Linked DNA regions of Arabidopsis thaliana. The protein of the gene in region 1 interacts with the protein of each later gene in a pairwise test. Each region holds a gene or a part of one and is shown on either strand. Other genes may lie near its edges. The genes, in order: SEC6, EXO70A1 and EXO70E2.

Region 1 (3,755 bases):
CCCAACCTCCTCTCCAGCAGCTGCTAATGCAAATCTTCGTTTACCATCAAGTGCTGTTAATCTCTATGGAAGAAAAACAGAATATTATGTCTTACACCAAACGTTCTTTTTTTCAAAGTGATGCAGTCAGAAATGCCTGGAATCCATGGGAAGAGGAACTCATGCTACCTCATAAGTGTTAACGATTTCTTTATCATCACTCAAAGAATCCCTAGCCGCAGCAGCTTCAACAGAAATTGACATCATACCTTCTACATCCTTGAAAAAAGAGAATGAGGTAAAAATAAGTTGACAAAAACTTGGAAAGCATTTAAACATCTGAGACGACCATGCAGAGCTATATATATTTGCGTTCAAGAATAAGTTAGAAGGACAACACTGAACCAAATACTGTAAGCAATACAATCAGTGCTCATCGGCATATCTACCTTTAGAGTTTTGTTTAGATTATTCCTGGCGTTACTCAGCAGCTTTATTTGGTCATGATTGTCAATCAAAGTTTGACATTCCTGACAAAGCCTGTGGCACAAGAAGAGAAGTTAGAGGGAGAGAAATGCAAAAGTTGGTAACTCAGCTTCAAGAATCTCTAGTCAAGCAAAAACATACTTGTCGATAGAAATGAAATTATCCCGCAGTTCATAAATGGTTTTCTCAGATGATGAAAGTGACTCTAACCCAGCTTGAGCTTGTTCAACCTGAAGTTTGTCAACAGCTATTACTTAAGAACAACAAAAAAGTCGAAATACATTAAAGTACAAAGAAGGCCAGATTAAAGCTGTACCTGCTCAGCAACCATAGTACTGAGCTGTGCATCATTTGCCTGATTGAAACAGCAAGCATCACTAGTCAGGTCATTAAAAATTTCCAGAAAATCGAAAATAAAAGATAACAATAGCATATCAAAACCTAACAACTCAAATCTAGCATTGCTCAGGAATCACTAATACTCAGTGCAAATGATACTTCAAAAGCCAATTCAGTTCCAATTGCAATTCAAAAGCAAGATGTCAAACCTGTTGACGAGCGATGTAATCGGCCTTGATTGAAGAAATAGACTGCAAAAGTTCAGGTAAGGGTAAGAGCTTCGCCACTTCTCGCACAGCCGCTTCCTTCGCTTCCACACCAAGATCTTCGACCATCATCTTCGCTAAATCACCTTATTTACGAACTCCGATCCTAAATTGAAGGCTACCTCTGCAAAGTTATTCAAAATTCCAGCACAATTACGATAACGCAGAGGAGAATCAAGAGATCTGGAAACAGAAACGTAGAGGAAAAATGGACGCAACCGAATAAGAAGTCATTGAGCAAATATCGAGAGCCAAATGTGCGATTCTCCAACTTCAATTACTTCGTCGTCCTCTTATCTTCTTCCTTCGCTGATTCTGAAGATCCTGGAAACAGTGATGTTGGACGCAGATCAGCTGGGAAGAGAAGCAACGATTAAATTTCTGGAACGAGTCTCATCTATCGTCTCGCGACTCTAATGGAAAGTTCGGAAACGCTGAAATTTTCCGTCTCGCCGGTTTTGATTTTTCTTTTTCTTTTTTGCCAGCTGTTGATGCAAACCTATTTTTTTTTTTTTTTTTTTTGCAAACGCTAACGCTAATTCGTTGAGCAAAACGCAAATCTTAACCCCATGCTCGGGTTCGTGTTATTTTTTATTTTTTGTTATATGTTTAATCATTTGAAATGTCACTAAAATATCATCGATTTTAAATCTTACCATAACGTATCGAATTCGAAAATATTAGTCGTAGGGGTCTGATTGGTTATCTAGCGATGTTACATACGTTTGATATTAATGGGGTTGCATATGTTTTGATAAGTTTATAATTTGACGACATGCTTTGCAAAACTTGGATGTGATATATTAGTTGTGATATCATCAAAGTTTTGCACATAACGTAGTACATGTAATATATAAGAAATAAATCGATGAGATGGATGGAATATTGAACTCGACGAAAAAGAAAAACAAAGCCTAAGAAAATGACAGCTTCCAAGTACAAACTATTTGAAAAGAAATTTGTAAAATCTCATAAATATCAATAGAATAGAGTTACAATATTTTGAAACAAATAATTATTCATCTAGAGTCCGTTTAGCGTAGAGGATAAACGGACGCACAATTTTCGACAATACATTTATATAAATATAATCAGTAGCAAAATGATAATAGTTAGGCATTAGAGTCACTAGGTAGTCTAGGTTCACAACATGGACATACCATGCGACGTAGGTAATGGCCATACAAGCACGAAGCAAGAGCTACCATAAGGACGCCCGATACCACGCCGATGTATTCTGTCAAATGATACATGTCCATCTTCTTGTTCACCACACCACCAATCTCTAATCTTTCTTAACCTTTTTTTTCGTGTACTGATTATATTTATATACATGTATCGTCGACACTAACTTTACATTTTTGTAAATATATCAGCAACATTTGGTAAGTTTACATTTTTTCATTAAGAACATACTAGAGAAAATTCGAAAGTTTACATTTAGGAAAAAATCGAAAATATATTATGTTCGAATTCTTTCTAAAATACTCCACAAACTGATATTATGATATTTACTAATTACTACTACTAGTAAAAATATATTTTAAGATATGTGTATTTCATTATTCAGCTTGTTTCAGATTTTGATGGTTTACATAAAAAGAAGAGTCATTGGTATCTAAAAGGAATAAGATCTACAGAGTTATATATCAATTACCAAATATGTGGATGTGATATATTCTTTATCTCTTTTATATATACACTAAATTTCTTTTTCTTCAAAGGAAGCATCCAAGGACAGATAAATAAACAGACAATCTACAAACTTTTTCATATGTTTTTCTTAAGTTTTAAACGTAATTATTATGAATAGTTTGGAATGATACAGTTTTAGTCACTAACCAAAAAATATGATTAGTAGCTAAATAAAGTACATTTATATGACATATAAATACTTAAAAAACGTACAAAAAGATTGGTGCCATTTGTGTGACACAGAAAATCCCAGCAAATGTCGAGAGAGAGAGAAAGTATAAAGAATGTGACCGGCAAAAAAGAGATAAAACAGTAGAGAACCATATTATTTGCCATTTCTTAGAAGAATCCACTGCATGATATTCAAAATCTCACCAACAACCATTGGCGAAGAAGAAAAGAAAAAGAAGATAACTCTGTAGATTTTGAAAGAGATGCTTCGGCTTCCTTCTTCTATGCCAATCGTTTCTTTTCCCGCCAATCCCAATCTGCTGATTAATCCACAACCATCTTGGCCGTCGCGAAGAGGAAACTCCGCCGTTGTTGTCTCCGCTGCGTCTAGAGATGTAGATAGTTTCACTAGTAAATCCGGTTATTTGTTCAGTCTCAGTGCCGATGAGGCTGATTCTTTGTCGGAGTACAATTTTCCCAGGATTGATGGGATGTATAAGAAGAAACCTCTGATTCTGCTTCGTAGATTAGCTCAGATCGGAACTACGTTTAGTTATTGGTTTGGGCTTCGCTTAGCTGATGAGGCTTTGGAACGCTCTGATCAAATGTTCAAGGTCTTTTTTCCAATTTCGTGATTTGCTCTTCAATGATAATGATGATTTTGTGTTCTCATGCTTCGTTTTCGATTTCACGAATTGGTATCATTAGGTACGAGCAGCGGAGCTTAGGAAATTGCTTGTGGAGCTAGGTCCGGTATGGTTATCTCTCACGTGTTCTTTGAGATTTCATCATCAGTCCATCAATTTGCTCAATGCTAGT
Region 2 (3,755 bases), on another chromosome or scaffold:
GCGGAGTACACGATGTGCACATCACAGCCAAACTATTTGATGAGTGTCAATAGAAATTCATATTTCAAAAACATTTCTCTTTAGCTTTACTAGTGAAACAGCAGAAGGATAGTCAAATATAAACTCACAACTTGCAGAAACCATGGAAAAACTACTTTGTAAATGAGCGGTGACTGGTGAGAATTATATGTAAGTTAATTGTATACCCGCAATCGTTCAAAGAAACTATACCTTGACTCAGTACTTTGACTCATGCTACAATTATTAGTTGAAAATTTAAGCTAAGAGCCTGATTTGAAAATGAACTGTACGACATACAGGATGAATGACCAAGAATCAATAGTTCACCTATAAATTTGTAGCAACTGTTGTTGGTGACCAGCCTGAACCATTTGCTGTGCCAAGTCATGCAAAAGTGGCAACACCCGTGACGGAATGAGGATTGGAAGTGTATAAGCAGCAGTTTCCGCGTCATCATTGTGATGTCCTCCGTGGGGTTTTCCACCTCCATCCCCGTCTGAGGATGGTCTCAGTGAGTTGGGAAGGCCATCAAATAGGCGATCAGGCTCCACCGCTTTACTGATTATAACAAAAAAAAAGAGTTGGCCTTAGCATTCTTCCATCTAAAACCAGTTGTCTGGAACACTCGTATCATAGGAAACTTGTATATTGACAAGTGTTTGATTTCACAAAAAAAAATCTTTGTCAGGTGACAACTCCGATAATTTAGATAAAAGGTCATTCTAAGTATTCTAGGTTATTTGAAAGATAACTAAAGAAGTAAGACCATCATAGAGCGAAGACCAGTTCCCAAAAAAATACTAACTAGAAAAAGTAGCTAAAAATCCACAATAGCTTTGTTCCCTGAAGTTACAAGGTATGAGTCATAGTTATAGCAAGAGCATCAAGTTTGAAATCATGTAGCTTCTTAAACTCTTATCAGGCGCAGAAGCACAAACCTGTAAGAAGCTAGCAACTGCTTAAACTCTTCCTCCAGCTTTGACTGTGCTTTAGCAAGCAAACTATTTGCGTGGTTGAGAACTCCATCACTACTCTTAAAGCTTTTGTTGCTCATAAAATAACGAATAATCTTTCTGAGTTGAGCAATTGCATCCAGATAACTTTCCAGGTCCTCATGTGGCCCCTTGAGTACTTTAGTCTCTGCCTAGAATTGAATTGAGAGCATAATCAAAGACTATCTATTCTCAATGTAGATCATTATCAATTCTATCTATTTATACCGATCCATGTTAGTAAAATCAGAAGCAAGATTTGTAAAACAAACCTGACGGAGGAGATCGAATTGAGACAAAATAACTTCAGCAGCCTTAAGAGTCCTATCAATATTCTCATGAGCTTTCCTTATAGCATGAGTCCTAATCTGAGATTTCAAAACACAGTCAAACCAAAATCCGATCAAGTCAGCAAAACTCCATAGAGCTATAATACCAGATCTGGATTAGAAAACAATCAGAGAAGATGATCGGAGCACTCTAAACCACACCTGAGTAGGACGCATGGCGGTTTCAAGAGCAGACAGACGACTATCGAAGGAGCCGAGGATAGAAACAACATTATCGGTGATGGTTTGACTCTTTTGAAGAGATGCTCTCATCAACACAGCTCTTTCGCTTAGCAGATCCATTCTGCTATCAACAGCCATGGCGAATTCCAAAACTGGAGAAATACTTTTTCTCGTCGCCTTTCGAAAAATGGAAGTTGAAGAAAAAGAAAGAGAGACGACGAAGGATGACTCGGTTTGGTTTGGTGGGTGACAGAGGAATGCCGAGCCGGTTCAAAGCCAGCTAAGCTTTTTCTTTCCCCTTACTTAACCAGATTGTTGAACATTCTCTTAAAAATATTGACCTCTGTTTTAAATATTTTTATAACAGAATTATAGAAATAATTAAGGTTCAATAAAATTTTGTATTTCCATTAACCAATAATGTAATCGTAAATTAATATATGCAGACGCTAACCATAATAACACATATCGAATATTATATTCCAATAAAATTAAAGAAATAAGTACACTTCAATAAAAATTTGTCTTTCCATCAACCAGTAATGTAATTTTTCAATTTATTATAGTCAGATATGCTAACCATAATGTAATCCTCTCATAATTTTTCTTTACAAACTCGAAGTTTTTGGTGTTATATCGTTCGTTAAATGTCGACAACATTTATAAGCATTGAGCAGTGTTGACATATCATGGCCCACAAAATAAAAGGCTATTGTCCAAATACGAAATAGCCCATTAAATACGGCTACAAATTTGTTTTTACACAAAAGTCACAGTACTGTAGATCTATCTCTAAGAATATTATCCATTAACGACCAAATTTGTCTCAGAAAATAAATGGCTCAACAACAAACTAAATATCAACATTTTCTCAAGAGACATATTATAACTAAAAAGAAATGAACAAAACACTTGACATTAGTGTGTTGAAAACTAAAAAAAAAAGAAGAAGAAGAAGACTTATGAGGATTGTTAGACGAAGATGTAGCCTCTAGAGGATCTTTATTTTGTACTCAACTTGGCACCTTGGTGTGTCAATTTCGACACAACAGTTCTATCCTCCAATAAATTGAAATCACACCGAACATTCACACACACAAACATACACACACTTTATTCTCAATTTATTACGATGGTTTAAATGTTTACTAGAGAGCAGAAAAATATTTTAAATTCAAAAAGAGAAGAACAATAAAAAAAGGTTAGGCGAGCAAAAGGAAGATGATATTCCTAAGATACCTTTTCTTTTCATGGCTTTTCCGTCACTCATTCTGTTCCCAAAACCATGGACAACATTCTCATATTTTTGGATATTTAGAGAGAAAATTAGTTCCATATTTATTCATCTGCCGTTGATAACTTTTAGTTTATAGAAACATAAACCTTCTTGAAATATGTTTTACCATAAGAGGCATATTAAATAAATAAATAAAAAAAAATGACGACAAAAAAAAAAATCATACTGTATATAAAAAAAGAAAGTGTTTTGTGAGAAAAGAAGAGAAAATCAAAGTGCTTTGACTCTTAGTGACGTCTTAATCGGAGCGTGGAAAGCACGTTCTCAGAATGCGCGCGTAAACTTTTGCACAGGCCAGGGGTGGGGTTTCGCAGGGGCTTGGCTGACAGCAGACGAAGGCCAAACATGGCTCCCATAATTCATTTAACCATCACTGTTCGCCGACTCTTCTAGAAAAAAAAAAAAGTAGTTTTCAACCTTCTTACAAAATAATTAGTTCCATTGGTGACTAAAATTTAGTCATTGTAAGTTTTTTTTTTCCTTATTTCAATTTATATTGTAGAGAATACAATATAGCCTAAAGCAATGAGAAATGATGTTAATGACTAAAAAAATATGTATAGTAAGCTAGTGACATATCATAAATTGTTTTATAGATATAAAAAACAAAATTCATGAAAGTATAGACACATTAAAATTTAAAAATAATAATGAATTCCAACCACTTTTTCTAAGCGGTTCAATGAATCGTCTAATTTTTTAGACTGTTTAAATTAGTCTGTCCAAAAATAATGCTCATTCCCTTTTTACAATCGCTAATTTAAAACGCTTTAACAAACTAACTGACAAAATCAAATCGTTTCAATTGGTAGCCCACGAAAACGGTTAGTCTCCAACCGCAGTGGTTAATAGATATGGCAACCGCAGCCGCGATTCCAAAACGCTACACACACACGTCGACAAAAGAACCTGGAAACCAAAACAGAGACGTTT
Region 3 (3,755 bases), on another chromosome or scaffold:
TGAAACATTGAAGATCAAAAAAGATAATTTGCTTACTTTCCCCTTTGTTCACTCATTATCTGAGAAGCTGATTTGGCTACAAATTCCTGCTTCGGTTTCAATGTGATACCAGTAGAAACAACATCATTCAGAGGACTGACAGGAGAATGCTCTAGTTTCTGCTTCTTGGGCTCACGAGCCTCCTCCTCTCCGCTCTTACTGTCCAAGTTAATCTCAGAATCAAGCACAGAACCAACAGCCTCACATTTAGTCACAAGGAAATATCTGACACAGAGACAATAGAGAAACACACATGTTAGTAACTGTTGATTTCAAGAATCGAACCAGAGTGATTATCCATGTAAAGAAGAAGCAAAAGAGAAGTCTTACTTTGTAGATTTGCTTGAAATGTCGTTAACAGTGAAATCAATGAGACGAATTAGACCCAAGTTCTGGATCTTCCCAGAAATGATTTCAGGTGTGAGTGAAGCAGTAAACATTGCTTTGACTTTCGTCTTTCCGTCATTTGCACTAAATCTGTCAACCAAAATCAAAACAGATCCATCAGAACAAAATCGGTAACTAAAACCCAAAACTAGGCAATATACAAACTATTATCAACAAACCCAGATCTCTTCTATCATAGAGTCATCAAAGTCGTTGCATATCATAATCTAGCTATACAATTGTGATTGAGAGAATATAACACTGACCTAAAGCTGGAACAAGCGAGATTTAAGAAATCAAGTAAAACCCAGATCATGAAAAGCCAAGGAAACTTACGTATAGCGATTGCCGATAGGTTTAAGATCCACAACTTGAACAACGATCTCAGATCGATCGGAAGACGAATCAAAGGATGGGTTTGACAAAACGGTGGAGATGGCATCTGGGGTCACCGAAGTCTGCATCTTTCTCTCTAGATATTGAAAAATGAAACGTTTGGTTTCTCTTTAATCAGAATGGTGAAAACTAAAAGCCGTGAGATAGTGAGAAGAATGAGAGAGAGGTACGAGGGTTTTTGTAAAGGAGAGAGCTTTAAGCGGGAGCTATTAAATTCGATTAATTGTTCCCCCGCCGATTTCAATTTCTATTTTTTTGGCAAAAAACTCTTACCGCTTCTTTTCAGTATCTTTCCATTTTTTTGGCGCATTTTGTTTTGTTTGATAATGGACTTTGTATGCGAAAGAAACTGTGTTACAAAAGCCTTTCACTTCAGGCCCATAGTTTATGGTTTTGTTTTTATGTGTGGGTCTTGAATCCACCGTATCACACGTTATGATTCATAAATATCTAAAATTTATTTCCAACAAATACAATTTTTTTGTTTCTTAAAGAACACATACGATATTATTATTTCAGAAAAAGATTAAATACAAAATCCCCAGGATCAAAATCAAACACCAATTCCAGATTAAACAATATCAACAATCTTTAATGTTTTTGACTTTTTTTTTTCTCTGAATGTTTTTGACAATTGAAAAAAATAATTCTACGCATTGCGTGAGGCAAACATTTAAAATTTTAATTTATATAAAGAGAAAATTTATACTTCTTGACTTGGGAAAAAAAAACTTGCTGAGGTCCTTACTTGATATGAGCTGTCAACTACTAGTGTGAGCCGTACAAATATAATCGGACGGTTCAGATCAATACATTGCGAGCCAGTCAAACTTCAAGTATTGACTAATCAACATCAACGTTTATTACACTAATTTATTATTGTACCCCTTATTTTCCAAAAACATAATACTTTTATCCCTATTGTATCCAATAGCTCTAAAAAAATCCACCATAAAATGTGTTTAATGAAATTCGATTATCTCTGACGACAACATTATCAAAAATCAAGACAAGAGATAGAACATAAAATGTTCAAATTCGTAAAAGTAATTGAAACAAATTAAATTCATTTCGAAGTTTATTAATTACATTTTGACCCCCAAATTTAAGTTAATTAGACTTACCATCCCCATGGTTTTCGTCCCGCCATATGGGGAAGTCAATGGACGAATCAATCTCAATTAGATTCGGGGCGGCCCAAAAATTTATCATTTTCTAAACCTTTCGTAATCTACGAAATTACGGGATCGCCTTCGTTGGAATACTAATTCCATTTTTCAACTTTGTTTTTATAAATACAGTTTACGTGCACCACAACTTTTCTTCTTTCCCTTCTTCTTCCCCAATAATCTCGCTGAAACTCTCTTGCTCTTGCTTCTAAAAATCTGTTCTTTGAGACTTTGATCACACAGTTATCAAAATCATAATCTCTTCTTTCCTGGTTTTTTTTTTTTTCTTCTTCTTCTTCCCGTTTCACGGTACGTTTACTCTGTTCGATCACCGAGTGTATGATAAAATGTTTCTGTGAAATCAAATAACATATCACTTTCTAATAAACATCAAAATTTCTCCTTTTTTACAGAAACAAGAAGTTTTTTTGGGAAAGCCGTTGACTTGACTTTTTCTTTGGGGTGTTGTGTGGGAGCTTATAGTATGGTACCATAAGTGGGAGCTTATAGTTTGGGGTGTTGTGTGGGAGCTTATAGTATGAGGAAAAATGTTAGATTTGAAGAATGCTTCACTGATTTTTTACCATAAGTATGTCAACTGGATTAAGCTTAAGTAGTAATGGTTTTTACTATGTTCATGTGGGGATTTCTCTTCCTCTCTGTTTACTTCATTCCGAGATGACTTGAGATTTTTTCAAAGTATAGTTCTTGGAGTTAAGCTTACCTAGTAATCACTTTATATAACATCCCTTCGTTTACATTTGTGCTTTCACCTGGAAACACTTTAGACTTTTCTCTCTTCTGCCGTGTGTATTTAGTTGTCTAGTCAAATTTAAGTTGAGTTTAGGCTCTAGTCTTTGGTTTTGGTTATGGCAGAGTTTGATTCCAAGGTTCCTGTTTCCGGAATGAACAATCATGTCTTTGAGGCATGTCACCATGTTGTTAAGGCACTGAGGGCATCTGATAACAACCTGGATGCCAATTTGAGAAAGCTCCTAAGTGACCTAGAGATGCATTTGTCAACATTTGGGATTGCTGATACCAAAGTTGAAGATGCAGGATTCTCTGAGATCAAGAAGAGATTCAAAGAAGCTGTGAAGAGAATCCGCAGTTGGGAGACAAACCAGTCGACGATGTTTGAAGCTGGTCTGTCTGAAGCTGATCAGTTCTTTCAAGCCCTGTATGACGTTCAAACAGTTCTTGTGGGTTTCAAAGCTTTGCCCATGAAAACTAACCAGATGGAGAAAGATGTTTACAACCAAGCTACGGTTGCTCTTGACATCGCGATGTTGAGGCTTGAGAAAGAGCTCTGTGATGTTCTGCATCAGCACAAACGGCATGTACAGCCTGATTACTTGGCTGTTAGTTCCCGTAGAAAAGATATTGTGTACGACGAGTCCTTTGTCTCCCTAGATGATGAAGTTATTGTCGAAGCTTCTTCACATGAAGATGATGAACAGATATCGGACTTTTATAATTCTGATTTGGTTGATCCCATCGTACTTCCTCACATCAAAGCTATTGCAAACGCCATGTTTGCTTGCGAGTATGATCAACCATTCTGTGAAGCTTTCATCGGCGTTCAAAGAGAAGCTCTGGAGGAGTATATGGTTACTCTCGAAATGGAAAGATTCAGCTGCGTTGATGTTCTCAGAATGGACTGGGAGGATTTGAATGGTGCAATGAGAAAATGGACAAAGGTTGTTAAGATCATTACTCAGGTCTATCTCGCCAGTGAAAAACAGCTATGTGATCAGATTTTGG

What was found.
Region 2: the proteins of SEC6 (region 1) and EXO70A1 interact in binary tests that used the Arabidopsis thaliana proteins (3 or more experiments, as listed by UniProt).
Region 3: the proteins of SEC6 (region 1) and EXO70E2 interact in a protein complementation assay, tested with the Arabidopsis thaliana proteins (one study listed by BioGRID).

The regions. Positions count from the first base shown.
Region 1 is NC_003070.9:27,007,409-27,011,163, reverse strand, and holds the start of SEC6 (SEC6), read right to left. Parts: upstream 1,601-3,755; 5' UTR 1,290-1,600; intron 1,195-1,289; 5' UTR 1,143-1,194; coding exon 1,014-1,142; intron 821-1,013; coding exon 782-820; intron 696-781; coding exon 607-695; intron 520-606; coding exon 429-519; intron 259-428; coding exon 169-258; intron 64-168; coding exon 1-63. Other genes in the region: AT1G71810 (Protein kinase superfamily protein), read left to right, coding at 3,200-3,550, 3,645-3,689. UniProt on the Arabidopsis thaliana protein: Component of the exocyst complex involved in the docking of exocytic vesicles with fusion sites on the plasma membrane during regulated or polarized secretion. Involved in polarized cell growth and organ morphogenesis.
Region 2 is NC_003076.8:887,514-891,268, reverse strand, and holds the start of EXO70A1 (exocyst subunit exo70 family protein A1), read right to left. Parts: upstream 1,704-3,755; 5' UTR 1,664-1,703; coding exon 1,505-1,663; intron 1,382-1,504; coding exon 1,286-1,381; exon of another isoform or gene 1,166-1,285; coding exon 960-1,165; intron 753-959; coding exon 675-752; intron 580-674; coding exon 349-579; intron 1-348. UniProt on the Arabidopsis thaliana protein: Component of the exocyst complex involved in the docking of exocytic vesicles with fusion sites on the plasma membrane during regulated or polarized secretion. Involved in polarized cell growth and organ morphogenesis.
Region 3 is NC_003076.8:24,551,752-24,555,506, forward strand, and holds the start of EXO70E2 (exocyst subunit exo70 family protein E2), read left to right. Parts: upstream 1-1,992; 5' UTR 1,993-2,860; coding exon 2,861-3,755. Other genes in the region: RPA70D (Replication factor-A protein 1-like protein), read right to left, coding at 37-264, 370-516, 763-890. UniProt on the Arabidopsis thaliana protein: Influences the subcellular localization patterns of other exocyst complex proteins (e.g. SEC5A, SEC15A, SEC15B and EXO84B) leading to their recruitment to exocyst, well-defined large punctate structures throughout the cytosol.